2 linked regions of the Coturnix japonica genome follow. The protein of the gene in region 2 purifies or fractionates together with the protein of the main gene of each other region. This does not show direct contact. Links are inferred from orthologs where the notes say so. Each region holds a gene or a part of one and is shown on either strand. Other genes may lie near its edges.

What was found.
Region 1: the proteins of NDEL1 (region 2) and DYNC1I1 purify together in Homo sapiens (affinity purification with western blotting; 3 studies listed by BioGRID and IntAct, with this or other methods). This does not show direct contact. The link is inferred for Coturnix japonica from reciprocal best matches to the Homo sapiens genes NDEL1 and DYNC1I1.

The regions. Positions count from the first base shown.
Region 1 is NC_029517.1:21,978,309-21,986,141, forward strand, and holds part of DYNC1I1 (cytoplasmic dynein 1 intermediate chain 1), read left to right. Parts: intron 1-155; coding exon 156-269; intron 270-3,016; coding exon 3,017-3,150; intron 3,151-4,961; coding exon 4,962-5,106; intron 5,107-7,833. UniProt on the Homo sapiens protein: Acts as one of several non-catalytic accessory components of the cytoplasmic dynein 1 complex that are thought to be involved in linking dynein to cargos and to adapter proteins that regulate dynein function.
Region 2 is NC_029533.1:1,498,966-1,506,798, forward strand, and holds part of NDEL1 (nuclear distribution protein nudE-like 1), read left to right. Parts: intron 1-152; coding exon 153-250; intron 251-1,640; coding exon 1,641-1,794; intron 1,795-2,899; coding exon 2,900-3,048; intron 3,049-4,077; coding exon 4,078-4,214; intron 4,215-5,685; coding exon 5,686-5,859; intron 5,860-6,625; coding exon 6,626-6,717; intron 6,718-7,833. UniProt on the Homo sapiens protein: Required for organization of the cellular microtubule array and microtubule anchoring at the centrosome. May regulate microtubule organization at least in part by targeting the microtubule severing protein KATNA1 to the centrosome.

The DNA.
Region 1 (7,833 bases), on a different chromosome or scaffold from region 2:
GAAGTTGAAGTCCTACATGGCAAAAGCCTGGTCCTGTATTTTCCAGACATTATGTGACTACTTAATCATTCTTTACAATAAGATACGAGATGTTAGAAATGTGTTTTGAGGATGTGAGAATGTCTCTCTGACTTCCAGTGTTAATGTGTTTGCAGCATCCGGTGTATTGTGTCAATGTAGTTGGAACACAGAATGCACACAATCTCATCACTGTCTCCACGGATGGCAAAATGTGCTCCTGGAGCCTGGACATGCTCTCAACTCCACAGGTGGGTTTGTTTTTACCTATACAAGAGAAAATCACCTTCAGCAAAGGAGGATGGATACCTGCTTAATGGAACATAGCTCCTAAAAGCCAAAACCTCACATCTTATACAAACTAAAACCAGTGGATGCACTTGAAAGAATACAGCTTGCTTCCAGCAGTCTCTGCTAAGAGCCAAAACCCATTTCCTTTACCACAAATCATATAATTATTATAATACGTTAATACATAGGTCAGTTTCAAGTGAAAATGAAATAATCCATTTTAAAGCATGGTAATTACAGAAGTTGCCTGTGGTATAAATTGTACTTACTCTACAGTGTTGTTTAACAAATATGGACTAGATTGCACTGCCACTGAACACACCCTAGGCACTATGGGTTTCCAAGGCACAAAGTCTGAAAGCTCACTTTGTTGCCTGCTTCCAGTATTTAAAAGGAAAAAAAACACAATGCAAATCAAATGTTTTAGAGCTAACTCCCCCCCCCCCCTTTTCCCGCTCTGGAATGTTTGTTGCTATTGTTTTCCCTTCCCCCTCCTACCCCCCTTTGTATCAGGACTGAAAGGAAGTCCAAGAAAATTGTCCAAACCACTTGTGATTATAATAATGGAAACTAAACAAAGAATCTGGTGCTGAGGAGGCCCTATGGAAAGTGTTATCTTTCAGAGTAGTACATTTGTATATTTCCTGTTCCAGCATATCACTGTTTTATTAAACATCATAGGATCTGATCATGAAAATGCTGAATAGGAACTGCTTTTAATGATTCCTTTAATTATCCATTAATAATGCATTAATGTGCAATTACTCTTGAGTTATTTGCTTTTCAGTGTTGACACAAGATGTGGGACTCCTCCCCTCCTTAGCCATCTAAAGGTCCCTGTCAAGTCCAAGCTGATCATTTGAGTTCCTTTTACAGTTAATTTAGAGAGAGACCAGCACTTCTAGAGGACAACTCAATCCATCCCAGCATGAGATACCACTTTAGATATTCTAGGGTACGGCACTGGACTTACATCTTAGGATGTAAGCTACTTCTGGAACTCATCCCATCTAACCTCTTACTGATAGTGAGGCCAACTTCAAAGTTTGATTGTGTTCTTCATGCTCCTCATATACATTATGGGTCTGGTAGTTGTGTCTGGGGACTATGAAAAACTGCTGCAGTTCTGGAAATGAAGAAGAGGCATCTAAAATGGCCCAGACATCTGTGTTTAGGAACCTGAATCCTTTGCCCTATTTTTCACTTAAATGTAGGGAAGATAAATCCTTGTGTGTTTACTTAGTGGAATACTGAATTTTCCAGCAGATATTTGTGAACATTTCAGTTCCAGAATTTCATCATTCAGATGGAATTTCCCAGATTCAAAACTGACTTTCAACAAGGATGGGAATGCATCCCATGTCACACTGAAATTCAGTGTATGGCTCACAGTTATCTTGAAAAGGACACGGGGCTTGATGTCAAGCTACACGCCATAGCTTTAAACTGAGCAGAGCAGTATTGCTGATTTGCATTAGCTTGAAACTTTCCAAAGACACAGATCCAGAGCACTCATATACAGCCATGGTGTAGGCTTTGAAGGAGATTCTGCCACAGTATCTGGCCATATCTAAGGACACTAAACAATGATCTCACCCCTGAAGATTTTTGTAGAAATATATGGTCCACAGGTGCTCTGCCAATGCATTTTCCAGGTCTTATTTTTCCTTGTTAATAGAAGCAAATATATGTGAAAGAAAAATATAAATCAAGCAGAAGTATTTCTCTATGGATTTGCAGCCCTCTCCTCCCATAGGGACGCTCACTTTCTTCAGCTACAGCAAAAATCCCTCCTGATAAAAATGCTGTAATCTTTAGCTCGAGAAGAATAGCAGCCTGGGCATTTAAATGTAGAAAGCACACACACTTAAAGAGCTGAAAATGAAAATTACTAAATCATTCAGGCCTTTTGTGGGATTCTTGGGTTACACCATTTAGGCTGCACAACCAAAAAGGTTAGAGTTGTGCAAAATCTGCTTAAAGCATATGCGTCGTGTAGCAGCATACGCATCATGTAGCCGCCACAGGCTGCTCACGCTGGTTGTATTCGAGATGTACAAAAACGAGTATGCTGATTTACTTTGAAATATGGCTAGAAGATGAAAATCTGCTTGCTGGTTTGTAGCTCGATGGTGGGATCCAGAGAAAATATTTATGATTAGTTCAGAAAATCTCTGAAAAACAATGTTTAGGATAGCAAGAATGATATGACACTGACTTCTGAATGTTGTTCTGCAGAGGGACAAATGTCACTGTCTGATAGACGCCTCAGGTGCATGTGATATTACATGTGTTTCCTGACAAACAACTGATTTTAGACAATGTTTGTAAGTAGAAGGGTATTTTTTATTAGAGCCTGGGGCTGGCAAGTATAGCCATTAAGGTGTTATCTTTAGTTTCTGCGCCATTAGATTTTAAATTCTCACCTGTCATCTCTGCCTGATTAAAGATGATGTTGCAGCCACTCTGAAGTGTCTGACACAGCATCAGGGATGGCAGGAGCCGTGCATCCTGATTGTGACATTGCATCTTCTTCCATTGCCCAAAACAGAACCCTAAATCCTGTGACTGGATCAGATGATTCCTCCTTCCTTTCTTGGTACTCTGTATAACATTTAGAAATGAATCAGCAAAACAAAAACAACATCCACAAACAAGCCAAACAAAAGGACAGCTACAGAGTAATAACAAAGATCTATTTCGACAGGAGAGCATGGAGCTGGTGTACAACAAGTCCAAACCAGTGGCAGTTACAGGAATGGCTTTCCCAACTGGAGATGTCAATAACTTCGTTGTTGGCAGTGAAGAGGGAACAGTCTACACAGCCTGTCGTCATGGAAGGTGACTTTAAGCTTTATGTACTTCTGTAACATCATCTGTATTGGCATGAGGTAGCCACGTGTGTGGAGTGTGCTTAGCTTTTTGTCCCTTGGATGAGCAGGATCTGTGCTGGGACGGGACTAGGGTGGGAACTGCCCAGCTTCATGCGTGTGTGTTACTGCCATGCACTGCAGTGCTTGGCCAACCTCCCTGTGCAGTCAGCAGGGAGCAGTAACTGCTGGAAGGTGTGACTTCTCTTGCCTTTTCCACTTCAAGAAGGGATGACTGGCATCCTGGAAATGCCTCTTTCTCCGCCCTGATTCTAAGGGAAGCCTCAAGTGCTGGCTGAGGTGTAGATTTCTGTGTTGGGGCAGGTTGTACCAGGCCCTAGGAGAAACCTTTGTTGCGGGGTAGTCAGACGTAAGCCACTTGGAAGAAAGGGTAATCTGCTTTATTTTCTTTACCATTTTCAGCTTCATCTTCAGTCTCTACAAGCAGATAGCAAAGAAAAGAAAGCACAACAAGGGTCTGAGTGCTGTATGGCTAAACACTGATTTCTCCACTTCTAAAGCTAGGAAAGTGCAAATTCAGTTCCATAATTTAAACAAGTTCCTGATTTTGCACCCTGTAAACTTTCTAAGGCTGCAGTCAAAAACAAGGAGCTCTCACCACAGGCCTCTGCAGAGATCAATTCCTTGTGTTTGCTACAGTGATCTGCAGGGTGCTTGCGTGCTCTCAGCTTCTGGTAGCAGTTTCATCCTCTGGGATGCTTGAGTGGCTTCTGTAAAGAGCAGGCTATTTCACTGATAGATCTAAAGCTGACCTCCCACTTCAGTGGTCTTCAGATTCATATGTTACCACAGCCCTTGTTTCAGGGACCAAATACACACTGGCAGTGGTTTAGCAGTGGTTTAAGATTGTAAGACTTCTATTACACATTCTTCATATTGTATAGTCACAGTTTTACATACATTTTCTTCAGAATTATTTTTATTTAAAAGTATTTTTTACTTTACCCTGCTGACAGTATTGCAGTGCTGTGTCTGTTTAGGCATTATCCTGATAGGTTGTGGCTGCTGGTCTGAATTAGTTTTTGGCTGCTGGGATAAATGGAGCACGCCCAAGGGCATTTCTCACATCTGATCTTTCAGATGTGCCTGGTTTGTTCCTCACAAGAGAAGGACAACAGATTTGGCATCATTTGCTTACAGGATGAGCAAAGCTGCCCGCTTTCTTTCTTACCCAGATTTGTGCTTTTCCTTCCTATTCTAGCCTCACTCTGACGATATGCACACCTTCCCATGCTCACAATAATGACTTTGATACCCCATCATGTGAGCAGTCCCTTCACATTTTGTGAAGAAGGATTTTCTTCCCAGGGACATGACTGACTGCTGTGCAGAGTTATTTTAAATATTCGAGCAAAGAAGAATTGCAAATGATATGTCATTAGCATCTTTGCATTTTTATTTTAATGGTTATTCCTCGTAATAATAGTGTACTCAGATGTATAAGATGTAGTGTAATTATAATTTCTAATTACTTTATAATTATACATACATGTTATTTCAAGCTATAGTAGTAGACAGTGTATATAGAAGTCAGTAATGCGTGTCTTCAGAAGGAAAAAGAGCTGTCTCTCAGTGCTGGATCCTGAGCACTAAGAGTGCCCAGAGCAGTGAGCTGCTGCAGGCAAAGGCCTTGCTGAAGGGAGACTGCTTTGCAGGTTAAATGGAGCTTTAAAAGAAAACAGGATTCTAAGAGGAAAAGAAAATGATGTTAAAACACCACGTTACTCACATTCTGAATGTAGATGTCTCTTCCTCCTGCAGCAAAGCTGGCATTGGTGAAATTTTTGAAGGCCACCAAGGACCTGTCACAGGAATCAATTGCCACATGGCAGTGGGCTCAATTGACTTTTCCCATCTCTTTGTCACGTCATCATTTGACTGGACAGTGAAGCTGTGGACCACAAAGGTGAGGAAAACGAGCTGGGATGTGATGGGTAATGCTACTTGTGAAAATGCCATTGTCAGAAATGTTTCACTTGAAATCAATTCACTGAAAGGCTGTTCTTAGAAAAGGCGTAGTGTTAAAGTGAAATGAACACCCAGTGCAACTACGTCAGCCATCTTTGCCATGGAGCCTACCCTATAAAGGTAGTTTCATCTGGCTTGCACTTCAGTATTAACCCCAGTGTTGAGCAATTTCACTAGGAAAGGAGAATAGAATGGATCGTAGTGGCAGTCATCACAGAATTCATCTAGCGCTCCTTGTGCAGGCTGAATTGCGAGGCTAATACTGTGCACTGTGACAGTACAACAGCAGGAACGCTTTCTTCTGATGAAGCAACAGGGAGGTACATGTACTACAGTGCAGTCAATATCCTTCAAGAAAATTATTGCTGTAGGAGGCTGTGGTAGCCAGAAAGTATAACTCATCCCAGTGACATTAGACACCAATGGCTGGGAGCAGGGAGGAAATACATGCTTGTACATTCGTGACTTTTGTTGCTGACTGCTCTGTGGATGTGTCTATGTCACCTCTTACAGGGACAACACTGTGAACAGTGGAAAAGAGCACACAGGCCTGCGGAGCTTTGAATACCCACACTCCATCTATGTATAAATATAGACTAATGACAGAGTCACCGCAAACTGCATGACAGTTTAAGTAGACCAGCCTCATTGTGCGGGCTGAGTGGAATAGGAGAAGTAAAATATCTAACATTTAAGTCATCTAAACAGTTATTTTTGTCCTACATCAGAGCAGAGAACTACATTCCAAGCACCGGACTTCTGTCTTCATCATTTATTTGTGTCTGCGTTTGGTTCACATCTTGAGCTGTATCCGACAGAGCTCCAGTGCTGGAAATTGACCCCAGTCAGGAAATATCTCAGCGTGTGTTCCTCAAACTCATCAGGGCTTGGAGATGCTGAGACAGATGCACAGCAAATGTAAACACAGAAGTGATCAGAAGGAATCATGTGGCCGCCTTGTTCTGGAAATAGAAGCACAGTTACCTAGATAATAGCTTGAATTAGCCTCTGTGTAGCTTCATAATGCATTTGTTAATAGCTTGATCTGATGTGTACGCTAATTAATAGGTATCTTTGCATGATGAGCAATGACCACAGCTGACAGTTTTGTTTGAGTATTGCAGTTTCTGAGCATTGCATACTTGGTAGGAGGAGGGGTGCATGATTTACCTGATTCTCTCCATAAACAGCAGTGGATCCAGCCTTAACCTAATGCAGAACTGACAATGGAGGGTGGTCGTGGGCAGGTTGGGATGAGTTTGGGGTCAGTCCTAGGTAGTGTTAGAGAGTGCTGTGGGATAACTCAGTGATAGAGAGCTGGCTCAGGCTGGTGAGTCTGGTGTCTCAGAGAAGAGAGTGCTGGTCAGTGGCACTGGTGGCAAGGGAGTATCAGATGGTTGAAGCTGAAGTTAAGTAAGAGGAAAAGAATTTGTGGGTACTGGGTGGAAAATGAAATGAAGGTACTGAAATACCTGCATTCTAAATATACACGTCCAGAAAAGTTTGGCATAAGTATCAGACACTCAGCTTGAGGCTGAATATCTCACTAAGGGTCTCATCCTTCTGCAGCATAAAGGAAATTGTATTAAGGAATGAGAAGGCTTGGGTTTTTATTTTGAATGCCTGGGTTTTTGGAAGTTAGTGGCAGCACTAACACAGCATATTTTGGACACAAAGACACTGCAGTTAGCAGTACATGGTAATCCTTGTGGAATACTTCATTGCCAAAACAGTTAGGTCAGATGCTGTTCAATACAGTCAGTTTTCAAAGAACCAAGCAATTTAAATTTTTAATACCTCATCTGGCAAGAGGGACTTCCTGAGAAAGCTACTTGACCTAACCGATGGGGGCAGGGATGTGCGTGTGACACAACACAGCACTGCTGTGAGCTGGAAACAGTATTGCTGTACTGGCTCCATTGGTTTCTCCTGGAGCAGATCTGAGCAGCAACAGCAGCTCTAGGCTGCTGCACTGCTAGTCTCTGTGTTGTTCAGAACTACTCTGAGGCTCTGAACAAGTTTGTGAAATGTAATGTTTTCCTTTTCTTCCAATTAGACTACTGCAGAAATTTCTTTCCATATTATCTCTTGGCTGGAGTGAGTACATATTTAGTGCTCTCTTTGTTCCATTCCCACAGTCAGGAGCCAGCCCATCACTGGATATTGAACAAACCCCTCAACATTTTTGATTACCTGAAAAAAATAGCATGTTAATATGAAAAAATGAGTGATATGGTTGGTTTAGGAGAGTTTACTCAGATGTCTTTATTATTATTATCCCCTTGGTTTCTTATTTGTAAAGCTAATCCCTCTTTCAGCATCCAAAGCTGTATCACTTTCTGGCTCCTACCAGTGATGTCTACCTAATCCTGTGCACATTATCCTCTTTCATCCTGAAATTCAATTCCTTTCTGTTTCACACGTTCAGAATCAATGTCCAATTGAAAAGTGAACCATAAAAGCTCTGTGTTTATATTGCCTGTTGATGTGGTGTAGCACCCTGGGGTGCTTACAAGAAAGGCACTTTCATAGCAGGCATTTGACTGATGGATTGAAAGCCCTGTCTCCCTTAAAAACTCTGGATTGACATTTTATAATCTGTTTTTGCAGTTAACACATTTTCCATCCCAACACAGTTCAACCAGGGGACTGAAAGTAAGATGTT
Region 2 (7,833 bases):
CAGAGGTGGCTGTTAGGAATCATTAACATTCTGCAGGCCAGTCTCAAGTCTGTTTGCTCCTGACAGGCCACAGCTTTGAAGTACAGCAGCAGTGGGGGGTTACTCTGCCTGCCTCATCATACTAAGCGTTTTCTTATGTCTGCATCCTACAGGTCATATTGAACATGGACAGTGAGGAAATTCCAACCTTCTCAAGTCCAAAAGAGGAAACTGCCTATTGGAAAGAGCTTTCCTTGAAGTACAAACAAAGGTACTGTTGGATATTTTCAGAGTGGATTTGGTTCTAGATGACTGAGAATGTAGCTTAATCTATTTCTCTGCTAGACTTTAATCAAAATGAGCATTAGATGTATTAAAATGAATCTCACCATTTCCAGCTTTAGGTGCAGCTTTTAGATCCAGCCTTGTGCAGGCTGAGTATTTCATTCTCAGTGTTACTATGCCATGAACTCAAGACTGAGCACGTTAGAGCAGGAGAAGAGCTCTTCTATGATCATGTGTATGTTTGTATAATTAAAATGCTGTCTTAAGTACTAGCTTGATGTTTTGCAGTAGGAAGACTGCCTGTGGGTTTGCCTGGTATCATTACTGTTCCCTCAGGCTTCTTGCACTTGGTCTGAGAAGTTTCTTATTTGGTAGCTGGCTGCAATATGTTGAAGCACATTCATTATAGCTCATAGTTCTGCCTGTGTTTGCCTCTGCCATCTTTTAAGGGGAGCAGAAGGCTTTTTGGTTACAAAAAGTGGCAAGAGAACTTGTTGTCTTGTGTGCTGCTTGTGGTTTGTTGTGGGGAGGGGAGTCAGTAGTGGTGGTTTCCTGCTCATTGCCTTTGGAGAGCTTTACTTGCACTCTATGTTAGTGTGCAATAGAAGCAAAGCCAGCTAAACCTCTCTCAAGTCCAAGGAGCCCAGTGTGCAAGCTGTTGTTTTGTTTGGGTCTGTTTTCTGGGTGTAGGGAACAGAGGGTGGGCATTTGAGATCCCTGAGCTGTATGAGAAAAGTCTGTCAGGTCTCTCTGAGGCCAATGAATATGTAGCTTCCTAAATATCATCAGTTTTCTCTGCTGGTTGCAAAGAGTTGAGCTATTACGTATGGTAAAGATGAGAGTGTAATTAGTGAAATATGTGGAGTTGCTGCTTCTAGTAATTTAATACCTTGCAGTGGCATAAGGTGGGTAAATGCTGGCTTCCTACCAAAGCACTTAGTAACCCTGAGATCCAAACCTTAATGCTTTCCAGCAAACTTATATTTCCAGGTAGTGCTGAGATGCAGTGACTATTGTTCTGTGCTGGTTTTTGCCTAAAGCAGGTTAAAAGCTTTACTTAGTGACTCTCTCAAGGCTGCTAGAGTGAAGGCTAGTGGGGTACCAAGTGTCAGACTTGCAGGAATCCTGGAAATAGCCTTGATATAGGTTGTATTTGCATGTGTATTGAATAGAGTTATTTGATATAAAGGGCTGAATTTCCATTTGTAGGTAAACAATGCAGTTTCTCTGTTTCCCCCAGTTTTTACTTTCCCTGTAGAGGTCCCTGGTTAAGTACTTTAAAACTCTTGGTGCTTTTTCACCTAATTATTTCTATAGAGCGGTGAACTTTGTGCTTGAGAGAAGCTGCATTTTGAACTGATGAAATCTCCTTACAGCTTCCAGGAAGCTCGTGAAGAGCTGGCTGAATTTCAGGAGGGAAGCAGAGAACTAGAAGCTGAGTTGGAAGCACAGCTGGTGCAGGCTGAGCAGAGGAATAGAGATTTACAAGCAGATAACCAAAGGCTGAAATATGAAGTGGAAACATTAAAGGTAGGTCTAATCTGTAATGATATTGATTCTTCCTTCAGATATGTGTCGGCTTTCATTTTAGGCTGTCTGTTCTTGTTCTTGGTTATTGGATACCTAAACGAAGTAAAGGGAATCATCTGCTTAAGGTCTAGTCTTGAGCATGGCATGTACTCCAAATAAGGCCAGCAGCATACCTTAGACACTTGTCATTGAGTTTGTGCTCCTCTGTTTATATTCTGCAGGCTTCGCCAAGTGGTGGCTTTGTTATGTACACAGGCAGCATCAGCATAGCAACGGGGAGGACAACACAAGTATGTTTTGTCAGACCACCATGTTGTCCTCTTTCTTTGCAGTTTTTGGGCTTTTTTTTTTTTCCTAATAGCCGTATCTATGGAGACAGGGTTTTCATAAGGATCTGTGTGTGCAGAAGGTCAATTTTAGGTAATATCTCTCCATTAAGAAGTTCTTGCCTCTTTTGGGATCCTGAAAAGTGCCTGTTCTGGTGATCTTGGATTATTTTATGAAAGCAAGAGTTGGGATCTTACCCAACAACAGTGATGTTTTTGGGACTACTGTTCACATGCGCAGTCCCAATAGCTGGTACTTATTTTTTTAAGGTCAGCAGTTTTTCCATAAGCCTCTATCTGTACCATTAGAGCAGATGAAAGCATGTTTTGGAATTAATCTTACAGTCTTTCAAAGAAAAGTTTGTGGACCTGGAGGTTTTTGGTAACAGATCGCAGTGGCTCTGATTTTCGGTAATGGAGATGTCAGATGAGTTCTTGTGACAGTGTGGCTATTGTAAGGGGAGAGAGGCATGAAGGGGAGGCTGTGCAGTTTGATTTCTCTCTGGTTTTCTAGATGGTTTAGGCTTTAGAGCAGCTGTGAGTGCAGGGGGCGCATCTCTGAACAGCCAGCTGTGTCATTATGAGTAGTCAGTGCACAGGACAGTGTGTGTAATTGTATCCTTTGTTCCTTTCTGATGTTCAGAGTACATTCCCTCTGCCTTTACAGTTCGTGCCATGCAATCCCAGATCAGTGGACTGCAGCTAGTGTGTTGCTTTGTCCCATTTGACCACTGAGTGGATGCTATTGATACTTATCTTTGGACATTTCTTTCTTTCAGGAGAAACTGGAGCACCAGTATGCACAAAGCTACAAGCAGGTGTCATTGTTAGAGGATGACCTGAGCCAGACACGGGCCATTAAAGATCAGCTTCATAAGTATGTCAGGGAGCTGGAGCAGGCCAACGATGACTTGGAACGTGCAAAGAGGTGAAGGCTGCAAAACTCTTATTTCCTTAAATATTCACAAGAGCTTGTCTGTGTTATTCAGATTCATGTTTTTATTATTCCTTTAGTGGGGGGGACAAAAATATGCATGCAAAAAATAATCTTAAAAAGAACCTAAGTCACTTGATTCTTTGTAAAGTGCAACTTACCCTTGGAGTTCACCTCCATCATCTGGTAGTGTTGCACTGCAGAAGAAAAGCTTGTGGGGGGTACCTGAAATGCTTCATGTTCTTGTGAGAAATGAGCCATGCAAGGGAGGCCAGTGCTCTAGTTTTGATACTGCCAGCCCAGTGACTCTTACATTTGTGATCCCTGTAGCTCAAAGCCCCTTTGAAGTAGGAAGCTAGTGCTTTACTTAGTCCTTTTTAAATTAAACACGCCAAAGGAGTCTCCTCTTTCCTTGCATAACAGCTTAATGACCGTGGGGAGCAAATGTGGTCTGTGTAAGAGCAGAAAATGAACAGGCTGCTGCAAGAAACGCCCATTTTTGGAGTAGATCATGCTTCCGTTCTGCTGAATGGGAATTTTGCCACTGATTCAGTGGGACCAGGAATGAGCCTCTGGCTATTTGGCAATAACATCTAAGAGCTGAGGCCTTGTTTCCACAGCACTCTTAACCTCATGACTAACTTTTGACACACATAAGTTGTCTCACTGAAATCATGGAACAAATATCCCAGTACCCTTCTTTCTGTGGGCTGCTGCCTGTTTCTCCAGAGCCGATACATGAAATACATAACTTTGGAGAATGACTTGGGAAAAATGGAGCTGAGTGTGCCACACAGGCTCTGTCCCAGCTATTTGGTATGTCTTGGAGAGCTAGATGCTGTCATGTTCTTTTCATCTCACTCCCTTCTTTGGAGTTCTGGTCCTTTCTAAGAAGCATTTCCATCGCTTTCAAGTAACTAACTTGAATGTAGATCCCGCTAACATTTTTCCTCTGTTATGTATTTGAATACGCTTTTAAGTTAGCTGAGCTGAAGAACCTAATATTCTGGATTTTATTTCTAGGGCAACAATAGTTTCGTTGGAAGACTTTGAACAAAGGCTGAACCAGGCTATTGAGAGAAATGCATTCTTGGAAAGTGAACTGGATGACAAGGAATCATTGCTAGTTTCTGTACAGAGATTAAAGGATGAAGCCAGAGGTATGGCTTGCTTGATTAGTTCTGTCTTTGTATGTTGTTGGCTTACTAACAGAGACATGAAGCAACCAGAGCTCATGTTTATAAAAAGCCTCACTCAATGAGATTGAAACTGGATGTGTAATAGAAGCGTTGGAATTTACCTGCTAATAAACATTATGCTCTGTGTTCTTTGCATGTCTGTTGAATCTAAGAGGGAAAAATTCCTCATGTTGGGTAAAGTTAGTGTCAGACTCTGTCAGGATTTTTAACCAAGGTGAGTAGGAAAGTAGTGCTTTCTGCAGGTTTAGTAGAGCTGAAAGCTGTGTTCCAAAAGTTCCCTCTCCATGGCTTTGTGCCACAAGGCACAGGGAAAGTACAGGAAATAACAGGGAAACGCATGCTAAATGGTAAATAACCATCTTTAAAAATACTACCTGCTGTTACCTTCTAAGCCTGTTGGAATTTGCCTGACTTCTTTAAGATATGCCCATAAAGGCTGTGGTTAGACCCGTGGCATCAGAGATGCTTCAGATAATCCTCAGTGCTGTAAGAGTTGGGAATTCCCTGAGAGGTTTCATGTTGAGTACATGGGGGAAACTTTATTTTAGTGGTTAGGGAGTGTGATTTCTCTGGTGGGGCAGTGTGCTTGTTAGTGTGCTGTCACGGCAGGTTAGAAATCAGTGTTTTTCAGAATTCTTTCCAAACTATTTCTTTGGAAACAGTTCCTCAGTGAAGGCAAGGACCTATAAAGGACCTTCTTAGGCTGTGCCTGAAAAGGAAACAAAAGAAAACAAAAAAAAAGCCAACCACGTAATGTATTATTACTTGCCTCTGGGCACTCTAGAGACTTTACAGATCCATGACTGAATTGTGCTGGATGTTCCTTATAGCAAATCTGTATGGAAGTGGGAGGTAGCAAGGTAGTCATACAAGGCAGTCCAGAGAGACAGTGGAAATAAAACACTGGTTTCCTGATTTCCCTTCTCTTTTCCTGTCATTTGGGCTATGGAGCTCTTTAGTCTGCTTGTTCTCATTTTGATGAATCAAGAAACAGCATCCCTTCACAATATCTGGCTAGTGTGCGATCTTACAGATTATTAAACTGGAAGGGCAGTGTTGGATCCTAAGATCACAAGATCAGGTCATTAACGTGTTTCCTTAACCTCCCATCTGAATGCAGTTAGCAGGCATTCGTGACTGGCTGCATTTTTCTGCAACACACTTTCCATGGAACTCAAACTACAAGTAGGGAGGAATGCTGAGGCCAGGTCACCTGCCTCACTTTCTGGGTGTACACAGCTCTCTGGGCCAGTAGAATGTGGCTCTCTTTCCATCTGGCAGTGATGGTATTTAAGATAGAGTCTTTTGCTGCTGCAGAGAGCCAGCAACAGTGAATCACTGATTATTGCCAAGTATTCTCTTCTATATAAATGAACAGAATGCTGGAGAAGTCTGTCACTAATCCAATGTGTGTTTTATCTTGCACACTCAGACCTGCGGCAGGAGCTGGCAGTACGGGAAAGGCAGCAGGAAGTCACCCGCAAGTCTGCGCCGAGCTCTCCAACTCTAGACTGTGAAAAGATGGATTCAGCTGTCCAGGCTTCTCTCTCCTTGCCAGCTACACCTGTTGGAAAAGGATCTGAAAATAGTTTTCCTTCCCCAAAAGGTACAACTCCTGCAAACTGTGCCTGGTTGGTTGGGAGTACGTTCTGCTTGCCCAAAAATTACTAACAAGGGCCTGGTCTGAATCTGACTTGAAGTAAATACAGGGTACATGTGGATCCCTACATAGCATGTGCTGGAATACTGGAGCAGTGTCAGACCTGTTTAATGAGTATAATTAGTTAATACTATGGAAAAGAAAGAGTGAAGCTTAGCTACTGCTTTGTAGGGGGTGAGGATTGCACTCCGCAGTAGAGGACTGCAGTAGAATTTATTTGGGGTTGCAGAGAAATGCTGTGACTAATATTTCACTGGTGGGTAAATAGTGGGTAGCAGTGCTGACAGTCTGGGCTGTCTTTGTTACCATGTGCTTTCGGGGGTGCTGTTCTCTCAGGAAGCTGTGGGATATTAGCCTAGTCCTCTTCCCATCTGGAAGGCTCAGGTCAATCGCAAGGATTAAAACATTTATTTATTTATTTTAAATTAAAGTAGATTCCAGAGAAAGCTCTGGTTGGATTAGATAGATTGCAGGCAGTAGCTATGCAGATGGAGGGTGCATGAACTCTGCCTGGGTACCTAATGGGGAGGAGGGTATTGGGCAGGAATTAAGCTTTTTCTTCTCTCTATGGCCAGTGATTGTGCAGCCTGTGTTACTGTTGGTGCAAAGAGTCTGCAGTAAGATTTTAGATTTATCTCCATGTAAAAGTGATTAAAAATATACATTTAACAGTGGAGGAGTGACGTGTATAACAAAGTGTGTTTGTTTGCAGCTATACCAAATGGATTTGGTACAAGCCCTCTTACTCCTTCAGCTAGAATATCTGCACTCAACATCGTGGGAGATCTCTTACGGAAAGTGGGGGTGAGTGCTCTGTACTGAACTATCCCCAGTTCTGAACACACAGTGGTGTGTTCATCCACATATGGGATGAAAAGGCCTTGGCTTGTGCTGAATTAGTTTGTAAGGTGTCTCTCTTATTTAAGAGAGTCCACATTTGGTGTTTGGGATGTGATAACGCTTGTTTTTTAATAATCTTGATTGATGGAGCAGGTTGCTACGGTTCTGATGCCAACTTGTAGAGATAAAATCCTTATTTAGTGTAAAGACTTTTTTTGGTGCACGTTAGCAGATGCTTGTTCATATTTCACATGAAAGCAGGACTCAGAGCTGAGCCTCAGCCTTAGTACTCACTGCACAGTTGTGTTATATCATGGAAGGTGAGCTGATATCAGACCGCTGGAGTCTCTGAGGAGGTCTGCAGAGGTTACTGAGAACTTAAATGAGTTGTTTACATAAAGTAAAACAGCCCTTTGGTAAGAAAGTGAAAAAAGAAATCAGGGGAAAGCCAAGTGTTCCCATCTGTAGTTGATTGGGAAGTGAAATGTGTGAGCCTCTAAAGGGATTACAACTGTGAGCAGGGAAGAAGCGGTTTCGACATCTGTTGCAGTGTTGCTTAGCATGGCAAGCTTTCCAGCTGAATGAAGACATGAGTTATGAGAAGCTTGTTTACTTGCCTCCTTGGGTAGTGTTTGGAAGCATGGGCAGCCTTGGTGTCTAGCCTCCAGGGCTGGCTTTCCTCTATCCTGTGTGGTTAGCACTGAGAACAGAAATAGCTGACGTGAATATGGTTGTTTTAGCCAAATTTGACATTAAAAATCAGATCATTGCTTGTATTTGGAGCTGGTGAGCTCATCGAGGCTGGGTTGAAAGGGCAGCAGGACGGCTCAGGGTTACAGAGTGGCATGTTTAAAATGGGATCATTGTGAGTAAGAGTCTGTAGGGGATTTAGGGAGCTTAATGACATCCCATGTGATTGCTCTGTGAGGACAGGAAATGCCAAATAAGCATGCTTCTTTCCCAGCCTATTCTTAAACACACGCAGCCAGTAATGCAAAATTCCAGCTCATGCATTTATTTAGTAATAATTATAGGATGTGCAGGATTTCTCTGGGTTGCCTTACCTGTAGGATGCCTTGT